2 linked regions of the Saccharomyces cerevisiae S288C genome follow. Each later gene encodes a partner of the first gene's protein in a complex. Each region holds a gene or a part of one and is shown on either strand. Other genes may lie near its edges. A codon is read from its position in the direction of its gene.

Region 1 (10,856 bases):
AAGCTCAGAATAAACCAGCAAAGATTAATACTTCAGATAATACAAACATTAAGAAACCTAAATTAATACCTTTTCTTACTGCTATAGTATGATCACCTAAATATGTAGCTTCAGCTACAATATCTCTAAATCATAAAATAGAACTTGTTAATAATACAAATAATGCTAAATATACCATATTCATATTACCAATATAACCATGCATTGTTAATGCTAGTGATAATGCTAATGATAATAATGCAAATGATACTACAATAGGTCATGGTGAAGGCATAACCATATGAAATGGATGTTGTTGATGTCTACTTCTTTCTAAATGTGTCATAAATTTATTGTTATATATATATTATATATATAATATAATTAAATAAATAAATAAAAAAAATATTAATAAAATATTATCCCTTAAACTATATAATAAAATTAAATAATAATATTAATTTAATAAATCTTTTATTTAATAATAATATAAATTATATTAAATATTTATAATAATATATTATTTATAAAATTATAAAATAAATTTATATATAATTCAATATATATATATTAATTTATATATTTAAATTAAATATAATTAAATAAATAATATAATCGAATTAATATCTCTTTCGACCGGATTATTTATTCAATTATTAATAATATAAATAATTAATTTGTATTGAATATAATTTATTTAAATATTTTATTATTATTATTATTATTATTATTAATTTATTAATATTAAAGGAAATATATTTATTATATTATATTATATATATTTTTTATTATTTATATTTATTATTAATATAAATCATTGATAATATCTTCTTTTTATTTATTTATTATTATAATTAAAAAAGAATCTTATATTAATTAATATTATTTATTTTTTTTTTATTTAATAAATAAATATTATTATATTAAGATAGATATAATATTATATCTAGATTTAGGAAATATAGGGTTCGAACCTATAATCTTTCGTGTGTAAAACGAATGCTATACCAATTAAGCTAATCTCCTTTATAAAATATATACTCCACAGATATATATCCAAAACTCTTATTAATTATTATAATTATTATTTTATTTATTTATATATATATAATTATAATAATTCATATAATTATTATAATCTTATAAATATTCCTATTGAAAATTATACTTTATAATTAAATTTATTAATAATTATTTAATTTAATATATAAAATATTTATTTATATATATATTTATATATATATATATATTTTTATAAGTAGTATATTATATTTTATATATAATAATATTTATAATATATATATTATAAATTATATATAATATATTATATATTTATTTAATAATTTTTATATAATTAATATATTATATATTTAATAAATTTTATATAATTAATAAGGTAAATATAATTTAATGGTAAAATGTATGTTTTTAGGTGCATATTATCTAAGTTCAAATCTTAGTATTTACAAAATAAAAAATTAATATAAATTTATTATAATCATTTATAAATTTATTATAATATTATTATTATATTTATTTATTATTAATAATTATTTATTATTTATTATATAATATTTTTATAATTATATATTAAATATATATAAATTTTATTATAATAAAACTCCTTCTTAAATAGGGGTTCGGTTCCCATGGGGTCCCTCACTCCTTACGGGGTTCCCGCAAAGCGGGAACTAATAATAATATATATTTTTATATATATATTAATATATATATATATTTATAACTCCTTTATTGATATTTATTCTTATTTAGAATATTTTTAATTAAATAATATAATTAAATGAATACCAAACTTATATTATATTTATATTTATATTTATATTTCTCCTACCGGGGTTCCGGCTCCCGTGGCCGGGCCCCGGAACTAAATATATAAACTTTTTTTTATAATATTATATTTATTAAAATATTAATAAATAAATAAATAAGAGATATAATATATATTTTCTTTGTATTAAATATATTATATATATATATATTAATTATTATAATATATTTATTATAAATTAATTATTAATTAATATATTATTATTATTGCCCTTAATGAGAATCGAACTACATGTAAATAAATCTTCAATTTATCGCTTTACCACTAAGCTATAAAAGCTATATATAATATAATACTTATTATTACTTATAATATAATATATATATATATTTATATAATAATACATAATATATATATATATATAAATAAAACATAATATATAATATATATTTTTATATTATTAATTAATTAATTTATTACTTATCTTATTATATATATATATAAACCTTTTATAATATATTAATATATATAAAACTTTAATATTATTAATTATTATATTTATATTTATATTTATATATATAATAAATATATATATATATTTATATAAATTATATAATAAATAATAATTATATTTTATTTATAATTAAAAATAATAATTATATAATATATTACTCCTTCGGGGTCCGCCCCGCGGGGGCGGGCCGGACTATATTATATATAAAATAATAAAAAGTCTATTTATAATACTAATATAATATTATATTAATATTATTTATTAAAAAGTAATTATAATAATATTATTATTTATTTAATTTATTTATTTATTTATTTATTTATTTATTATTATTATTAAATAATATATTATATTTATATTAATTATTTAAGATATAATATTAAGTTCTGGGGGACGGCCCCCCGTATCCGTATCCGTATCCGTATTCGTATCCGTATCCGTATCCGTATGGGGGATCGGAACCCCAAAGAGGAGTGAATACCTATTACATTATATTTATTTTATATTATATTATATTTATTTTATATTATATTATATTATAAATATAAATTATAAAAGGAGTAAATATAATTCTTATAATTTAATTATATTATAATTTTATTTTATTTTATTAATATTTCTCCTTTCGGGGTTCCGGCTCCCGTGGCCGGGCCCCGGAACTATTAATATAAAAATATATAATATTTATAAAAAAATTATACATTAATTATTCTTATTATTATTATTTATTTAATTATTATAATAATTATAAAAAGAATATTTTTATTAAATTATTAAATTTATAATATATTTAATTATATTATAATATATAAATATAATTTTATAAAATAATAAGCTAAATATTAAATATATATTTAATATTAATATCAATATAATATTAATATCAATATAATAATTTAAGATATATTATTTAAAGATTTAATTATAAATATAATAACTCCTCTCGGGGGTTCCGGGTCCCGTAGCCGGGACCCGAAACTTAATTAATATATATTTTATAAATTAATCATTATTTATTTTAAATAAAATATTAATATTTTTATAAATATAAATTCTATAATAATAAATAATAAATATATATATATATAATAATAAAGAATAAAAGAATATTATTAAAAGTTATGGCTATAGCCATGAAGAATTAATTAATTATAAAAATAATTAAAAGAAAATAATTTTATATATTTATAATAAAAGAATAATTTATATATAATTTATATAAATATAAAAAAGTCTCCTTTTTTAATTTTAAGAAGAAGTAAAAATAATAATTAATCTAATAAAATATTTTTTAAAATATATTTATTTATAAATACATTACCATTTTTAATATATTTAGCAATTTCATGTTTAGTCCCGGCCCCAGTCGGGACCCCGAAAAGGAGAACAATTAAAGTAAAGAGCTGCTGGTCTATAACCAGTAAATGTTATAATTAATGTATTATTTAAATCATAAACAAATACTCCAACATTAATAAATTTAGTATTATTATTATTTATAGAATTTAAACGTTGAATATCACTATTTATACGATATGGTAATTTATAATTATAGATAAGATTTATATTTAATACATCATCAATAATATTTTTAGTTCCGGGGCCCGGCCACGGGAGCCGGAACCCCGAAAGGAGAAATATTATAATTAGAATAATATCTTTTTTTATTAATATTATTATTAATTAATTTTAATAAATTAGAACCTTTAAGTGTATTATGTAAACCTTTTATATAGATTTCTATAAGTGTTTTTCATAATTGGAAATCAATTTCTTTACGACTATATCATTTTAATGAATATAATTTAGGTAAAATAACATAATATAAAAAATCTATTCTATTAAATTCTAATTTAATAACTCCATTTTTATCAGGTTTAGTTAATTTAATAGATGAATCTCAATCTTTTAATAATTTATTTTTAATTAATAATGGTGTATTATCAATTGGTTTTCAATTATTTAATACATAAGATTTAATAGCTTTTAATGTATTAATACTACGTTTATGTTGTGAAACATTAAAACCACAAATATTACGTTTTGGAGATAGATCAAATGAACCTTCAGCTTCAATAAAACCTAAAATTCAATAATCATTTATTTTATCATATGGAATTTTTAAATTAGGTATAACTTCATAATTATTAATTGTATTTTTAATATTTAATAAATCTTTATTATTATAAGATATACCATTTAAATTATTAATTATAGCTATTTTTCATTTATAATAACTATAATATTTAATTGTTAAACAAGGATACTTATCAAAAATAGTTACAATATTAGAATATAACCATTTCTTTTGTGAATTTACTAATATAATTGTTTTAAGTAGTTCTTCAAAATTAGAAGGTATATTTAATATATTTCTAATCTTTTCTAAACATGCTTTATCATCAATATGTATTCTAAAACCATAAAAAAATCTTAAATATTTTTTATCATTTAATTTAATATAAAAACTACCATCTCCATCTGTAAATCCTACTAATCATTTATAAAAATTATCTATTTCTAAATTATTCTTATTATTATTTTTATTATCTTTTTGAACAATAATTAATTTATTATTTAAAGAAGTATGATAACCTCTTTTAATAATATTTATATTTTTAATATAAGGTGATTGAATAGAATATAAATCTATATCTTTATTATATTTAAGAATATTATTATAATTATTATTATTATTATTATTTTTAATAATTAAAAATATTAATAATAAGTAAATATTAATTATTGTTCATTTAATCATTCCAAAAATTTAGGTAATGATACTGCTTCGATCTTAATTGGCATATTTGCATGACCTGTCCCACACAACTCAGAACATGCTCCATAGAAGACACCTTCTCTTTGAATTAAAGCAGAAACTTGATTTAATCTACCAGGAGTAGCATCAACTTTAATACCTAAACTTGGAATAGCAAAATCATGAATAACATCAGCAGCTGTTACAACGAATCTAATATGTGTATCTACAGGTACAACTATAGAAGTATCAGTATCTAATAATCTTAATTGACCTTCTTCTAATAATTCATCAGGAATAACATATGATTCAAATTCAACAGTTTCACCACTATCATTAATAAAATCTGAATATTCATATTTTCAATATCATTGATATCCAATAGCTTTAATAGTTATAGCTGGTGAAATAACTTCATCACATAAATATAATAAAATAAATGAAGGAAAAGCAATAATTAATAAAATTACAGCTGGAAAAATTGTTCAAATAACTTCAATAGTTTGTCCATGTTTAATATATTTATATGCAATAGGATTTTTTGAATATGTTATAACAATTGTATATAACATTCAAGATACTAAACCTAAAATAACTAATAAATAAAACATAATATTATCATGTAATTCTAAAATACCTTCTTGATTTGGTGTTGCTGAATCCTGAAAATAACATGCATAAGGTGTTGGTACATCATTCATAATGAATGTTGTTAATTGTAATCTTAATAAATCTAACATTTTAATAAATCTTAACCTTTAGACTCTTTTGTCTATTTATAATATGTTAATACTACTTTTAATTAAAATTTATTTATAATTTATTATTATATATTATAAATTAAAATAAAAAATATTATATTATATTATCAACCCCACCTTTTTTTATTAAAAATAATTAAAATTATATATTATTTTTATAAATAATATATATAATATTATTAATCATATAAATATATATTTTATTAAAAAAAAAAAAATACTAAAACTCCTTCGGTCCTCCTCCCGTTAGGGAGGGGTCCCTCACTCCTTACGGGATTCCCGCTTCCCAAAAACTAATAATATTCATATCATATATATTAATATTTATTAAAATATATAATATTTAGATTATATATAATATATATAATTTTTATTATTATAATATATTAGTGATTACCTTATTTATAAAGGTATGAAGCAAGGAGTTATTATTTATTATTATTATTATTATTATTATTATTAATATAATATATATATAATATATTATTAATTTTTATTTATACTCCTTCGGGGTCCCCGCCGGGGCGGGGACTTATATTTATATTATTAATATAATATATATTTAAAAATAAAATAGTCCGCCCCGCGGAGGGGGGCGGGACCCCGAAGGAGTCCGCCCCCCTTTTTATTTTATTTTATTTAATTTTAAAGAAGAAGAATTATTTATATTTATTTATTTATTTATCTCCTTCGGGGTTCCGGCTCCCGTGGCCGGCCCCCGGAACTGTAATAATATATTAATTTAATTAATATTTTTTATAGATAAATATACATTATATGTTTTTATTAATTAATTATTTATTTATTTATTTATAATATATATTTAAATATTATATTATATATATATATTTAAAAGATAAATTATATTTATAATTATTTAATGAACATCTATTTAATAATAATAAAATAGTCCGGCCCGCCCCCGCGGGGCGGACCCCGAAGGAGTCCGGCCGAAGGAGATGTGAATCCTGCTAGGAGGAGTAATTATTTATTAATATTATTTTAATATATATAAATATTATAATCATTATTACTTGTAGAAGGAATTGAACCTTACATTATTTATTTATGAGACAAATGTTTTAACCAATTAAACTATACAAGCTCCTTAATTATAATTATTATTATAATTAATACAATATTTACTCTTTATTATCAATATTTATACCTTATTTTATAAATATAAATAAAAGATATTAATTATTAAAATATTAATAAATATATTCTTTAATAATTTATAATTATAATATAATAATTATAATAATAATAATTTTTAATAAAAAATAAAATAATTATAAAATTATAATCTTATTATATAAAATATATAATATATTTATAATTATTAATAAAAAAGATAATTATATAATTAAAATTAATATATATATATATATATATATAAAGGTATTATTAATTAATTAAAAATATTAATATATTTGTTAATTAAATAAATAAATAAATATAAATATTATCTAATTATAAATTTATTCTTAGTAATTAATATATATATAATATTATATAATATAATATATATAATATAGGTGTTAGTTTAATAATATTCTTTATTATATATAAATATAAATAAGATATCTTATACTATATATTATAATAAATTATAAATAATTAAACATAATAAATATAATTTATATATACATATTTATTTTTTATTAATTTATAACATATTAATAAAAATAATAAATATATAATTTCTTTAGAATACTTTTTATTCTCCTTCCGGAATTAATAAAATAAAATAATATAATATAATATAAAATATAGATACTTATTTAATTTATTAATTAATATATATATAAATATATTATTATATATAATATAAATAAATATATAATATAATATAATATTAATAATTATTATTATATACCTTTTTATAAATAATTTAAATATTTATAAAAATATTTTAATAATATTTATAATATAAAATTTATCATTTTATAAAAATTATATATATATATATAATATATAAAATAGTTTCTTCTTACATAAAATATAATAAAAATTATAAAATATATTAAATTATTAATAATTATATATTTAATGAATAATCTTAAATTAATAAATATCAATAAATATATCAATAAATATAATATAATATAATATAATAAAATTATTTATTATTATTTATTTATTATTATTATTAATACATACTTTTTATATTATTTTCTTTAATATATATATATATATGATATATAAATTAAAATATATATATATTATTATCGTCCTTAATAGGAATTGAACCCATCTATTCTCATTAACAGTGAGATGCTTTAACCGATAAGCTATAAGGACATATTATATAAAAGAATAAATATATATTAATTAAATAAATAAAAACCCTTATTTTATATATTTTATTAGTTCCGGAAGGAGAATAAATAAATAAATATATAAATATATAGAAATATAACTCTATAATTAAATTTATTAAATACAGATAATAATTATTTTATTATTAATTTTATTAATAGTTCCGGGGCCCGGCCACGGGAGCCGGAACCCCGAAAGGAGAAATATACATTTTAGAATTATTTATATATTTTTTTTATAAAAGTATATATATATATTATAAAGATAATATAAATTATTATTTATTTATTAATTAATTAATTATAATTATAATTATAATTATTATTATTTATTTATTTATTTATATATATAAATATATTAATATAATTATTATATAATTTTTTTTTTTATAAAGTATATATATATATAATTTTATATATTAAATTATGTATTAAATTAATTATTCATTGGATTATATTAATTTCAATGGATTTGATTTATAATAATATATAATTAATAATAAATTATGAAGGGAATAGGAATTGAACCTATGAAGACCTAAGTCATTGAGTTTACAGCTCAACTCCAACTACCAACATTGAAAATCCCTCCTTATATATTAATATATATATATATTATTATCTTAATATAATATATATATATTTATATAATTATTATAATATATTTACTCTATTTAAGATTTATATCTATATATATATAATATAAATATAAGTTCAATTTATCTTATCTAAAAGAGATATTTATTAATAATAATTTATGATTTATAAATTAATAATAAGATTTAAATATTATTTATAAGTATATATTATTATATTATAAATTATTTATATTATTATTTAATTATAATATTTTTAATAAAATAGTCCGCTCCCCTCCCGCAGGGGAGGGGGCGGACCCCGAAGGAGTGCGGGACCCCATGGGAACCGCATCCCTTTTTATTCTTAATTAAGAAGGAGTAATAAATTTATTTATAAATATAAAATTAATAATTAATATTTATTAAATATAATTAATAATAAAACTCCTTATGGGGTTCCCGCTTCGCGGGAACTATATATATTTATTATAAATTAAATAATTATTTATTTATATATATATATATATATAATTATATTTATATTTATTATTATTATTATTATAATATATATATTTATATTTTATATATTAATGATATATAATATGAAACTAACAGGGATTGAACCTATATTTGTACCTTATCAAAATACTATTCTAACCAATTGAATTATAGTTTCTATTTCATTAATTATTATATTTAATTAATTTATATAATAATATTAAAATTTATTATAATTTATATATTTATTAATTATTTATTAATATAATATTTATTAATTTATTAAAATATTTATATTATATTATAAATATCTCCTTCGATTAGATAATTTATATTATTTATTAATATAATATTTATTTAATATTTATATATATATATATATATATAATTTATTAATATATATATTATATAATATAATTATTGGAGTTAATGAGACTTGAACTCATATTAAATGCATGCAACGCAGTCGTTCTACCAAATTTAACTATAACCCCATTATATTTATATTTATATTATTTATAAAAAAAATAAAAATATAAATTATTATTTCTTTATATAATATATAATATTATTATAATATTATTCTTATGTAATTTATTTATATTAATTAAATTAAACTATATTATTACTTATAATAAAATATATATTAATGAAAGATTAAAAATAATATCAAAGTAAATAAATATTATTTTATAAATTTATAATAAGTTTTTAATATATTATTATCTTATTATAAAAAATTAATAATTAATTAATTAACCCTATATTAAAATATAAAATTATATACTTTTTATATAATAAATAATAAATAATTAATAATTAATATATAAATAATTATAATATTTTATATTATTCTCCTTTCGGGGTTCCGGCTCCCGTGGCCGGGCCCCGGAACTATTAAATATTTTTATTTAATAATAAATAAATAAATAAATTAATTAATAATATTTATTAATATATAATATTATATAATATAATATAATATCTTATAGGATTTGAACCTATATAATTAGATTCGTATTCTAATATTTTACCATTAAATTAAAGATATATACGGAAAATATGAGATTCGAACTCATAAGAATTTACAATTCAATTACTTAGCAAATAATCCACTTTACCTATAGTTAATTTTCCTTTATTAAAAAAAATATAATAATAAATAAATTAATAAATTAATAAATAAATTAATAAATTAATAAATTAATAAATTATAATAAATTATAATTATTTTTTATATTATTTTCCTTTCGGGGTTCCGGCTCCCGTGGCCGGGCCCCGGAACTATTAATAAGTAATAAATAAATAAATAAAAAGAAGAAATATATTAATGAAATTATATAATAATTAATAAATTATAAAATTATGATTTTTTACTATTAAATATAAAATAAAAATAAAAATATTAATAATAATAATATAATATAATATAATATAATATAATATGATCTAATATAATATAATATAATCTAATTAATTAATAAGATTATAAATATTTATAATAATATATATTATATTTATATATATATATAATATATATATATTTTATATATTATATATAAGATTATTAAAAAATAATAGTAATAAATATATTGTAAGAAATAATAAATTTATATAAAAATTAATTATTATTAATAAATATAAAAATAAGTCCCCGC
Region 2 (10,158 bases), on another chromosome or scaffold:
ATTAACTTATCATTCATTCCTAAATGTGGTGGAGGTCTTATGTATAGTTCTTCTTTGATGTCTGCATACAAATATGCCGAAGATATGTCTAATTGTGTAATATAGTAGTTATTGTCTGATGCAAGTGACAGGGATGTCATTAATGCATAGTGATGTACGGTATTGGATTGCATGCCTGGGTCGTAAGTGTCAGGATGTTGAATATCACCTCTTGCAACAAATCTAGCTTTATGAGTACCGCCACGTTTCCTGTTAAAGATAAACATTGAATTTATTACTCTTTTGGGGTCTATTTCTTTTCTGTCATAATATCTGTCAGTGTCCCAAGTTTTCATCTTCAACAGTTGATTGACTTCTTTGTGGTATGCCTGGATATATTTTTCTTTTTCTTTAATATCTTTATTATAGGTGATTGCCTCATCGTATCGTAAGGTAGTTCGTATTGGTTTGATTGATTTTACTGCTTTTACAGCTGCAATCAGGTGAATTCGTTTCTTCGATCTCGGAGGTTCTAAACTACGCATATTCTTAGTATTCCATGTGTCTCGTGATACCTTAATTTCAGTTTCATTATCTTCTAATGATCTTTTCTTACTGTTGATAGTAGTATAGGCATTAGAGTCACCAATACCACCCAAACTGGAATTAGTTTGATGAGAATTTATCGGTGGGAGTTCTTTAAAGGAGTCTGATAATTCGGTAGGAGGTTCTGGAGGCAGATCGGGGAGTGGAAGATCAGCGATAATAGATTCCTCTGTATTCTCCTTAGGACAGGTATCTGACGTTTTGATAGGAACGACGTGGTGTAGTGAATTACTTTCTGATGAGGAAGTATCGATCGAAGGTGAACGGTGTATGATCCTTTTCTCAGTCTCCTGTTCGCTTGTCTGCGGAACAGTTTTATTATTGGTACCACCCGTACTGGATATTGGTACGTTTGTATGATTAGTCTCATTGTCACTGTACGAGTCTGAGTGTCTGAAATCTTTAGATTTACTGGCGTGCGACGACTCATGTGTGTTAGATTGGGACATGGGAGCAAGTAAAGGAACATCTAATCTATGCATACCACCCGAACCGGTACTCTCGATATCGGAAATTTGGGGGGTGCTAGATCTCTTCTTAGATGGAAGAATATTAGATTCAGATATGTTGGGGTCAACTTCTCTGGGTGCGCGAATATTGGTTTTGGAAACACGTTTCGAATCTTCAGTATGAGTTGACGGAGGTGTGGAATCGGTTGGACTCACAGCTTTTGAAAGGACATTTCTCGGTTGCTCAGGATGTAGTTCGATGTCAGATTGGAAGTCATGGTCAGATTCTATGTTAAGATCATCGGATTGTTGGATCTCATTTGACGCAATGAACGATTGATATGAAGCAGTTAAACGGTTTAAGTCTTCATCGAAAGTGAGTGCGTCGTAATTGAATTGATCTAATCTGGATTCCTTGCCCTGAAGAATAACATAGTTAGTTGTATCTACTGTCTTCTTTAAGGATGGAAGATAGATGATATATCCATAAGAGTTTCGAGACGGATGTAGAGCGTAGCCTGGGATGCCACGAGGATGTATTTTGGAGTTAGGGTTGTGATCATTGACGATAACAGGTTGACCGAAAGGTAACAAAGTACTGATATCAAGTCCTGCCAAGCCAGCATGTTGTCTTGCAGATTTTTTGCTTTTAGGTGAAGCTAGTGAATTTCTCACAATAGTAGAAAATTCGATTGCAGAGAACCATAAATGGTTCGGTAAACCACTACATTGCAGTTGAGTACGGCAGTCATCTAATAAGGTACGGTTGAGCCGTTCAGCGACTCCATGTGCTCGGGAATCCGCTGTGGTTGTATAGCATGGAGTTATACCATTTTTTTCAAGGAATTTATGGAGAGTTCTGTTAGTATACTCAGAACCACGGTCCATTTGTATAACCAAGACACTGGCCTGAAACTGGTTTTTAATAAAAGCTAGTATCGTAGTAAAAACATCGAGGATAGAGTCCTCGCGACGGTCGTGTAATGGATAAACCCAACGGAATTTTGTTGTCTCATCAGTAAATGAGATGAAATAGGATGGTGCACTTTTTGGTAGGTTGTGAACTGGACCAAATATGTCAGTATGTAGGTATTGAAAGGGTTCGTATGAATTTTGGTATTTTAGTCGTGAACCTTTGATATGTCTGTGTTTGGTGCTTTTGCCGATTAAACAATCAGGACATTGATAGTCAATAGCACTAGACCAGTCGACATCTGATTCGTTAAAATACGTGATGGTGTTATTTTTAAGTGAGTATCGAATTGTCTGTGCATTGGCATGCGCAAGCATTCGATGAATGAAAGGATAAGGATATTTGCGTGTACTTTCACTTGTATGGACATTATTGATGGTGGGTACGGAGATATTTGATGGAAGCAAGTACTTTTTAGATACCCAGTAAAAGTCTCCATATTTTACGATAGGTGCAAGTACAGTGCCGTCAGACCGTTCTAAGACGTTTTTGGTAAAGCATGCTGTGATATCTACTGCAGCCAATTCATTCAAACTGAGTAAGTCATAGGCTATGTTAGGAGTGTGCAATACCTTTATTGATGTTTTGGTGTTGTCCTGGAAGTGAAATTGTAGGTCACCAATAGCGTTAATTGGTATATTTCTTTTTTGAGCATCAACTACGTTTATGTCAGGATTAGATGATGCTGAGTGTATGTGATGAGCAGATCTTATAAGGGTTCGTGATGCTCCTGAATCGAGAAGGAGGTGTCCAGGGAGTTCATCATCAGAATGATTAGTATGATTTACTGTAGATTCAGTAAGTTTCTGGCCTAAGATGAAGGTCGTGCTTATTGTTCAATTGAATCGGTTCAGTAGTTGATTTACTGATGGAATCGTTGTCCGTGCTGGGAGAGTTATTAGATGTGGATACATTGTGAGCCCTGGCTGTTTTCGATTTCGAATTATTTGTTTTTTGAGGATTCCGAGCTATAACTTTGGGTTTGGTTGTATTCGTATAGCTGCGAGAATCATTCTTCTCATCACTCGGATTTCTCCTGTAATTAGGTTTGCTGTTTCTCGATCCCTGTTGTTCTTCATAAATAGCATGGATATCTAAGAACAGTTCAGCGACTGTCATATTTAGATGTCGATGACGTGTGTAGCGTAAAAATTTATATTCGCCAGATAGACCTCTCATAATTAATTGGCATGCGACCTTGTTATTGATATGAATGCCATTATTGTTCAGTCTGTCGATAATGTTTGTGACTTTTGTTTCAAATGCATCTGCAGGTGTACTGCCATTATATTGCAAATTTGCCAGGGTCACAATGTCGTTTGCCTCTTGGGTATCAGATTGCATTTTTTCAATACTTTTGGAAAGAATTTTCATGATATCCGTATAATCAACGGATAGGATGTCTTTGACCCAGGTAGGTAGGAATTGAGAGGGAGCAAATATTTGAAAAGTGTTATACAAGAAGGTGAGTTCATCATCAGTGATCTGACGTACGGGTTTTCCGTTTACTGTCGGAATAATACCACCGAGATTCGAGTTTTGTAAAAATTTGATGTATGTTTTAACCCAATTTGGAAAATCATTAGGTGAGGTTAACATTGGTGGTGGTCTGACATATTTTTTAGTGGATGTCATATCAGAGTCCGCTGAGGATGAATCAGTAAATGTATTACCTGACTCAGGTGATGGAGTGCTCAGAGGCGTTCCAACTGATGATGGATACTGCGGAAACTGTGATTGTGGCCCAGGTGGAAAGTACATAGGCGACATTTGATAAGGTGTATACGGAATCATAGATGGGTGTCCGTAAAATGACCAACCAGATGGATTGGCTTGGTTTTGGGTCATCATGCACTGCTGTGGGTACGGCCCATTCTGTGGAGGTGGTACTGAAGCAGGTTGAGGAGAGGCATGATGGGGGTTCTCTGGAACAGCTGATGAAGCAGGTGTTGTTGTCTGTTGAGAGTTAGCCTTAGTGGAAGCCTTATCATATTCTTGAATTTTGGAAGCTGAAACGTCTAACGGATCTTGATTTGTGTGGACTTCCTTAGAAGTAACCGAAGCACAGGCGCTACCATGAGATATATGTGGGTAATTAGATAATTGTTGGGATTCCATTGTTGATAGAGGCTATAATATTAGGTATACAGAATATACTAGAAGTTCTCCTCGAGGATATAGGAATCCTCAAAATGGAATCTATATTTCTACATACTAATATTACGATTATTCCTCATTCCGTTTTATATGTTTATATTCATTGATCCTATTACATTATCAATCCTTGCGTTTCAGCTTCCTCTAACATCGATGACAGCTTCTCATAACTTATGTCATCATCTTAACACCGTATATGATAATATATTGATAATATAACTATTAGTTGATAGACGATAGTGGATTTTTATTCCAACACTTTCATACGTAACGGGGGTAATATTACTAGCTGTTAGAATAAGAGTCAACGATCATAATTGACTAGTAACGCAAATACTACTAAACAGATGATGTTTTAGAGTTTCATTCTAACAAATTGATAATGTAGTAGAATAATGAATGACAAAGTATAAAAGAAAGGAAGACAAAGTGATTTTATTATCAGAACTATCAACTCCCTTTCGTGAATTCCAAGACTGTTGAGGAGAACTTCTAGTATATTTTGTATACCTAATATCAACAACGAAATCCCAACAATTAATACGAAGTTCACCCATTTTCTGATAATTGTTACGTGCAAATAATAGAACTACTTTTGTCGAGGTGTAATCTCGTATTCAAACTATATAGTAAATTATTCTCAATGGTCGAGTAATGCAAGAAGATGATATTGAATACTTTGCGTAACTTTACCAATTATCCAATATGCAACAGTAAAATGATACCTTCACATTTCAAGCTAATTCCAAAATAATACATATTAGGTAAAATCCTCAATTTAATTGCCCGGTTTTACCTTCAGACATCGCTCCCTTTCCATTGACACATCTATACCCTTCAATGAACCCGCTATGTAATATCAACGCATCGTAAAAATAGAATAATAATGCAGTAGTACATATCCAGCCTAGCTGCAATCTAAATAGCTGTGATAGTCGGTGTAAATTAATAGTTTGGTCAGTTTTAAAAAAAAACCTAATTTTGGTACAAAAGTAGAAGCTGAAAGCAGTCATTGATACCAATAACAAATACTTTAGCTGAAACCATTTAGGATACTTTTTTCTGGCAGCACAGCTGGGACATACTACCTTCGAACATCTCTTTGGCTTTGTTTTATTTTCATTTTTAAAATGACCGTTCTTTCGATATAAAAAGAAAACTATAATAACGAGGGAAATTGTTACCGCCCCCAGAATCATATCTATGATCTTAATGATGATTGCTTTTGGGTACTTTTCAATCAAATTATCTACTGATGGCACCATAAAACAATTTATAAAATAAAGGCTACAAACGGCCTTTGTTAATTTTTCTATAATTAATAAGGAATTAGACTTTGGGATCTCATCTTGGCTTTCTGTCGCACTAAGTTCTGCCTCTTTCATTATTTCCTATACTTTGAAGGAGAAAGTAAACTTTAACGGCAAGTTCCTGTCTTAACTACCTTTTAGTTCTCGTGTGTTGTGAAGGGCCTTTGAGGAAAAACTCGAAAGTTTGTTCCGTACTTTTAAACTTTCAATTTTTTACCAAAAAGGCTATTTACCGCTTTATGGGAAGATCATGGCAAGTCAAATCCACGTTAAATGGAACAAGATTAACTTGCCACAGATCAAATGCTGAATTGAAGAGAAGTTTTAAGCATTAAGATTCTTAATATGATCATTAATATATCAGTACGTGTCTCAACTGGAATCGTATAAGGTTCTTGTAAGTACAAATTGTATGCAGAAATTTAAATGCGAGAACAAAACTTGAATCTCCCCCCGCATTTAAAAAATATCTTTTTGAACACAGTGCAACTGATTAAAAGTACCTGTAATACATATATATGTTTGTATACGTATGTATATCTAATTATTTCTTACCGTCAAATCATAATTATTTTTATCCGTTCGTAAAGCAATCCAGTGCTAAATACCAATTGTGAGGCCATCGGCTTAGTTTGGAACAGCAGTGTAGATACCGTCCTTGGATAGAGCGCTGGAGATAGCTGGTCTCAATCTGGTGGAGTACCATGGGACACCAGTGATGACTCTAGTGACTTGATCAGCGGGAATACCAGTCAACATAGTGGTGAAATCACCGTAGTTGAAAACAGCTTCAGCAATTTCAACTGGGTAAGTTTCAGTTGGATGAGCAGCTTGGAACATATAGTATTCAGCCAAATGAGCTCTGATATCTGAGACGTAGACACCTAATTCGACCAGGTTAACTCTTTCGTCAGAGGGAGATAAAGTAGTGGTGGCTGGGGCAGCAGCGACACCAGCAGCAATAGCAGCGACACCAGCAACAATTGAAGTTAGTTTGACCATTTTTTTCGATTGAACTTTTGTAGATCTTTTTAGTGAAGATGTGAGCTCACTCGAATGTAAATAACAATGCCAAATTGTCGGAAAGAGTTAATCAAAGCTGCTCTATTTATATGCCGTTTTTTAATAAGCGACGGACGAACAGATAAATTGTTGAATAGCTATTTCACTGCTGATATTTCTCTTACTTGGGCTCCCCTATCCCATACTCTTCACCACTACAAATATGCAGTTGCCCTTTCTTCAACAATGCTTTTTTTATAGATCTCGTATACGGATCCGCGCCTTTGTACTACCTATATCTTATTATGATATATACAGGAGCACAGGAATGTTCGGTACAGGGATGATACCTTTAAAGGAAGTTTTGGCATGCCTTGACAACTTCAATTAATCTTTGGCCAAGAAAATGAACCAGAAATCAAATTTTATTCTGTGCCCTCTGAACGAGGGCAATATCCAATGTTTGACACTAAACGGTTGTCAGGAGAAAAATTGAATGTTTCCCAAATCAGAAACATTAAAATCCCTCTATATGATCAGAGGAGTCGTACCTGTTAGGGTATGAGCGAGGAAACGTGATTGAGAGTTATAAACTGACCATACGAAGAGTTACGGCCATTGATTGGGTTCATGACACCCAGGGAAGTTTCTTTTGGATTAAAATCACAAGTCTTGCAATTGCTGTATGTATTGCATGAGTGAAGTAGTTGGCATCTAATGGATACCCACTTAGGGAGTTTATGGATGAATCTTGTCTTCATAGGGTAGCTCGAGAGTGTTTTTTAATCTAGTGATATCCACTTAGCTAAGCGCGGCTGGAGATACAATATTTACAAAGGCAATTTCAAAAGTAGGAGCGTTTTCAAAGGCCTGCTCCATTCTCCGTTGAGGTAGTAGAAGCAAATATAAACGGTTAATCTTGCTGTTTTCCTTGTTTTGTCTGTTGGTTTTCACTTGCTGAAGCCTGTGGTTCAACAGTACTCGGAGAATCGGCCTTATCTAGTCTCCTTCTGACCTGTAATGCGTAAAATTACGACAAACGTATTTCGTGAAACAATTGATAGGAAAATTGTCATTTGCTTGTTAAGGCAGTGCATTGAGGCTCTTTAAAGGTACTTTAGAAGTTTATGTTACTATCCTTCTAGCCTGATAGAACAATAAGTAAAGAATTGACATTCAGAAATCAGCCATCATTTCGTTTAGTAGTAGCAATCGCAAGTAGTGACTGTAAGAGATAGAAATGTGTACTTCAGTCTGGAACTGGGGCGCTTGTGAAGGATGTGTGCCGATCTCAGGCTGTTGATGAAGGTCTCTTCAAATACTATATTATTATCTTTTAGTAGGTCCCAGGAAGTGCCTTATTCTCAACATGTTCAGCGTTTATCTTTCTCAGCCTGAATGTATTTCAAACGATGACTAGAAGAGATTAGTACCCCTTATATAATCCTCGAAAATGTTGCTATCTCAGTGAATTGAAAGTTCATGCTGACGTCTTTATCAGCGTTATCCATTGCCTTGTTCTTTTCAGTGCAGTGGCAGATGTTACGAGGGTCAAATAATTTTTGAATATATATAGAAATGGCTACTTACTATAATTAAAAATAAATATGAAAAATAAAACTTCAGTACCCCACATCATTCTCATTTTTTTCTGTTTGTTTGATTTTTAGGAATTTGGCTCCATCATGAACATTCGTTAGCGTATGATATCACTTTTTCATTATCTCCTATTGTTACTTTACTTTTCATATAGATATCCTTCATCCCGTGTAGGTCTACTACGCAAAAATGAATTCTAGTAATTAATAATAATGATATAAAAAAGGCTAAGTGCACATTACTAAAAACGAAACTAAGATCCTTAGTCTGAGTTGATATCACCTGCGAAAATACCTTTTTCTCTTTGATCATCCCATTTTTCGATCCAGTCTAGGGGACATAAGGCGTTATAGGTCTTCCAAAAGACCTTGCACGGAGCAAAATCTTCGCCCTTCATATTAACACACTTGTGATAATCCACATAAGATTGCCAACAATGCTTTGTTTGGTTTTGTTGGGGAAATCTAGCATCGAAACCAACTGTATGTAGTGGAGAGTTTTCTTGATCAGCCATGTCTATTATACTGTATTTATGTGCTTGTTCCTATTTGTGAAAGCAAAGATACTTTATGTATTCTTACTAAAATATTTGTATATCTCTGCTAATCATTTTAATGCAACTTTTCTATCTGGTGCATCTTTCATCACCTTTTAAAGATCCTGAAGGGATGGGGATATCGGGCAAAACTACGCGCGACGCATTTCTGAAAATTGATTGGTCAATGTTATGAAGCTATATGGTAAAGAATACATGGTGTCATATAGATTTATTTGAATCTCTCGAGTGCTTTTTGAACCAATTGTGTGTTGTTTTCTCTGTCTAATTCCTTGAGTAAGCGTATTAATTGGAAACACATGTCCCACGAATCGGTAGCTTTAATTGGGTCTGTGGCGTTTGCAGCACTTGTCACCAAAAGCTCTAAGACTTTAAGCATTAATTCTTCATCCTTCAATAAATTAGTGACAGATTTCTCTGACTTTTTTGTAGAGTTATCATTTAGAGCTTTGCTTTCCTCAGTCCCTAAATCTGATTTCTTAAAATGTAGATCATCTCCCAAATCTTTCTCATCGTAATTTAAAAACACTAACAGAAGTACGCCAAGCATTTTAGCCTCATTTTCTTCGATACAGAGTGCTAATAAATCTCTTGGTGTCATCTTTAGATTAGTGAATAGATGGTTCCAGTATTTAGTTTCGATCTTCCTTAAACAATTACTAATAATTTCTAACATACCACTGTGGGTTGGTGGTGAAATATTATGCTCAGGATCGGTGTTGTCATACATCTTAATTAATTTCAGGATATCATCCAAAGAGTCGCTTCGCAGTATTTTAGTAGACAAAATCTTTTCGAGTGCAAATTTGTAAGGCTTTAAAAAACGATAATTGTGTGAAATATCCTCCAAATCTGTGTTGTCTTCTAATTTGGCTAAGATTAATTGGTCGAGGTATATTTGGTGTTTCACCACCAATTTGGAAAATCGCGCGTTAAAAATGCAGTGAAGTGTATGTGTTGTAGCTGTTTCTGGGGTGGTTGATATTGGATACAAATCTTCTTCGATTGGAATGGAAACTAGTGGCTTTTTATCATCCCATAAATCTTCCAAAGAGTATACGACGTAATTATGGCCTTGAACTACAAATATTTCGTCCCTGATAACATCGATTATTTTTTCTATGTTATCCAACAAAGTTAAGGTTTGCCAGCCCCCTCCATCCACTTTGCCAAGCTTTATAAATTTCCTATCGGCAAAAAATAACAAGCCCTCCTTCATGTTAATTATCCACTCAATTTTGTTGGGTAAAACATCAATTGGAATGTTAATTTTGAGATACTGGTAGAATTTTTTGATGATGTTTAATCCACATGGATGTACAGTAGAAATTACATCGAAGACAATTGTCTGTGTATCAGTAACTAAAATAATCTCGGCAGTTTTAAGCAATGCATCAGGTTGTTTTTCAGAAGCATTGTGATTCTTGGATTTCATTTTCAACAACTTATACCGGGATAAAGTATTAACATGTAAACTGAAAACAATCGTATTCTCTGGAACATTGTATTCCCACATGACATAATCTG

Evidence for each region.
Region 2: the proteins of COX2 (region 1) and COX12 are in contact, whole or in part, in a cryo-EM structure (PDB 6T15), measured with the Saccharomyces cerevisiae proteins. Residues at the interface, in NP_009326.1 of Saccharomyces cerevisiae: Val110 (codon at 5,453), Ile111 (codon at 5,450), Ser112 (codon at 5,447), Pro113 (codon at 5,444), Ala114 (codon at 5,441), Met115, Thr116 (codon at 5,435), Lys118 (codon at 5,429), Ile120 (codon at 5,423), Tyr122 (codon at 5,417), Lys127 (codon at 5,402), Glu129 (codon at 5,396), Ser131 (codon at 5,390), Asp132 (codon at 5,387), Phe133 (codon at 5,384), Ile134 (codon at 5,381), Thr140 (codon at 5,363), Arg176 (codon at 5,255), Val178 (codon at 5,249), Thr180 (codon at 5,243), Val197 (codon at 5,192), Pro201 (codon at 5,180), Gly202 (codon at 5,177), Arg203 (codon at 5,174), Leu204 (codon at 5,171), Asn205 (codon at 5,168), Gln206 (codon at 5,165), Val207 (codon at 5,162), Leu241 (codon at 5,060), Phe244 (codon at 5,051); in NP_013139.1 of Saccharomyces cerevisiae: Ser7 (codon at 8,571), Pro8 (codon at 8,568), Leu9 (codon at 8,565), His10 (codon at 8,562), Thr11 (codon at 8,559), Val12 (codon at 8,556), Gly13 (codon at 8,553), Phe14 (codon at 8,550), Gln20 (codon at 8,532), Gln21 (codon at 8,529), Asn22 (codon at 8,526), Gln23 (codon at 8,523), Thr24 (codon at 8,520), Trp52 (codon at 8,436), Asn56 (codon at 8,424), Ala57 (codon at 8,421), Leu58 (codon at 8,418), Cys59 (codon at 8,415), Pro60 (codon at 8,412), Leu61 (codon at 8,409), Asp62 (codon at 8,406), Trp63 (codon at 8,403).

Annotation. Positions count from the first base shown.
Region 1 is NC_001224.1:68,682-79,537, reverse strand, and holds COX2 (cytochrome c oxidase subunit 2), read right to left. Parts: upstream 5,781-10,856; coding exon 5,025-5,780; downstream 1-5,024. Other genes in the region: COX3 (cytochrome c oxidase subunit 3), read right to left, coding at 1-325; Q0255 (maturase-like protein), read right to left, coding at 3,554-3,634, 3,666-3,875, 3,916-5,043. UniProt on the Saccharomyces cerevisiae protein: Component of the cytochrome c oxidase, the last enzyme in the mitochondrial electron transport chain which drives oxidative phosphorylation.
Region 2 is NC_001144.5:216,584-226,741, forward strand, and holds COX12 (cytochrome c oxidase subunit VIb), read right to left. Parts: upstream 8,590-10,158; coding exon 8,338-8,589; downstream 1-8,337. Other genes in the region: YLR035C-A (gag-pol fusion protein), read right to left, coding at 1-2,324; YLR036C (uncharacterized protein), read right to left, coding at 4,938-5,549; seripauperin PAU23, read right to left, coding at 6,102-6,476; RIC1 (Ric1p), read right to left, coding at 8,843-10,158. UniProt on the Saccharomyces cerevisiae protein: Component of the cytochrome c oxidase, the last enzyme in the mitochondrial electron transport chain which drives oxidative phosphorylation.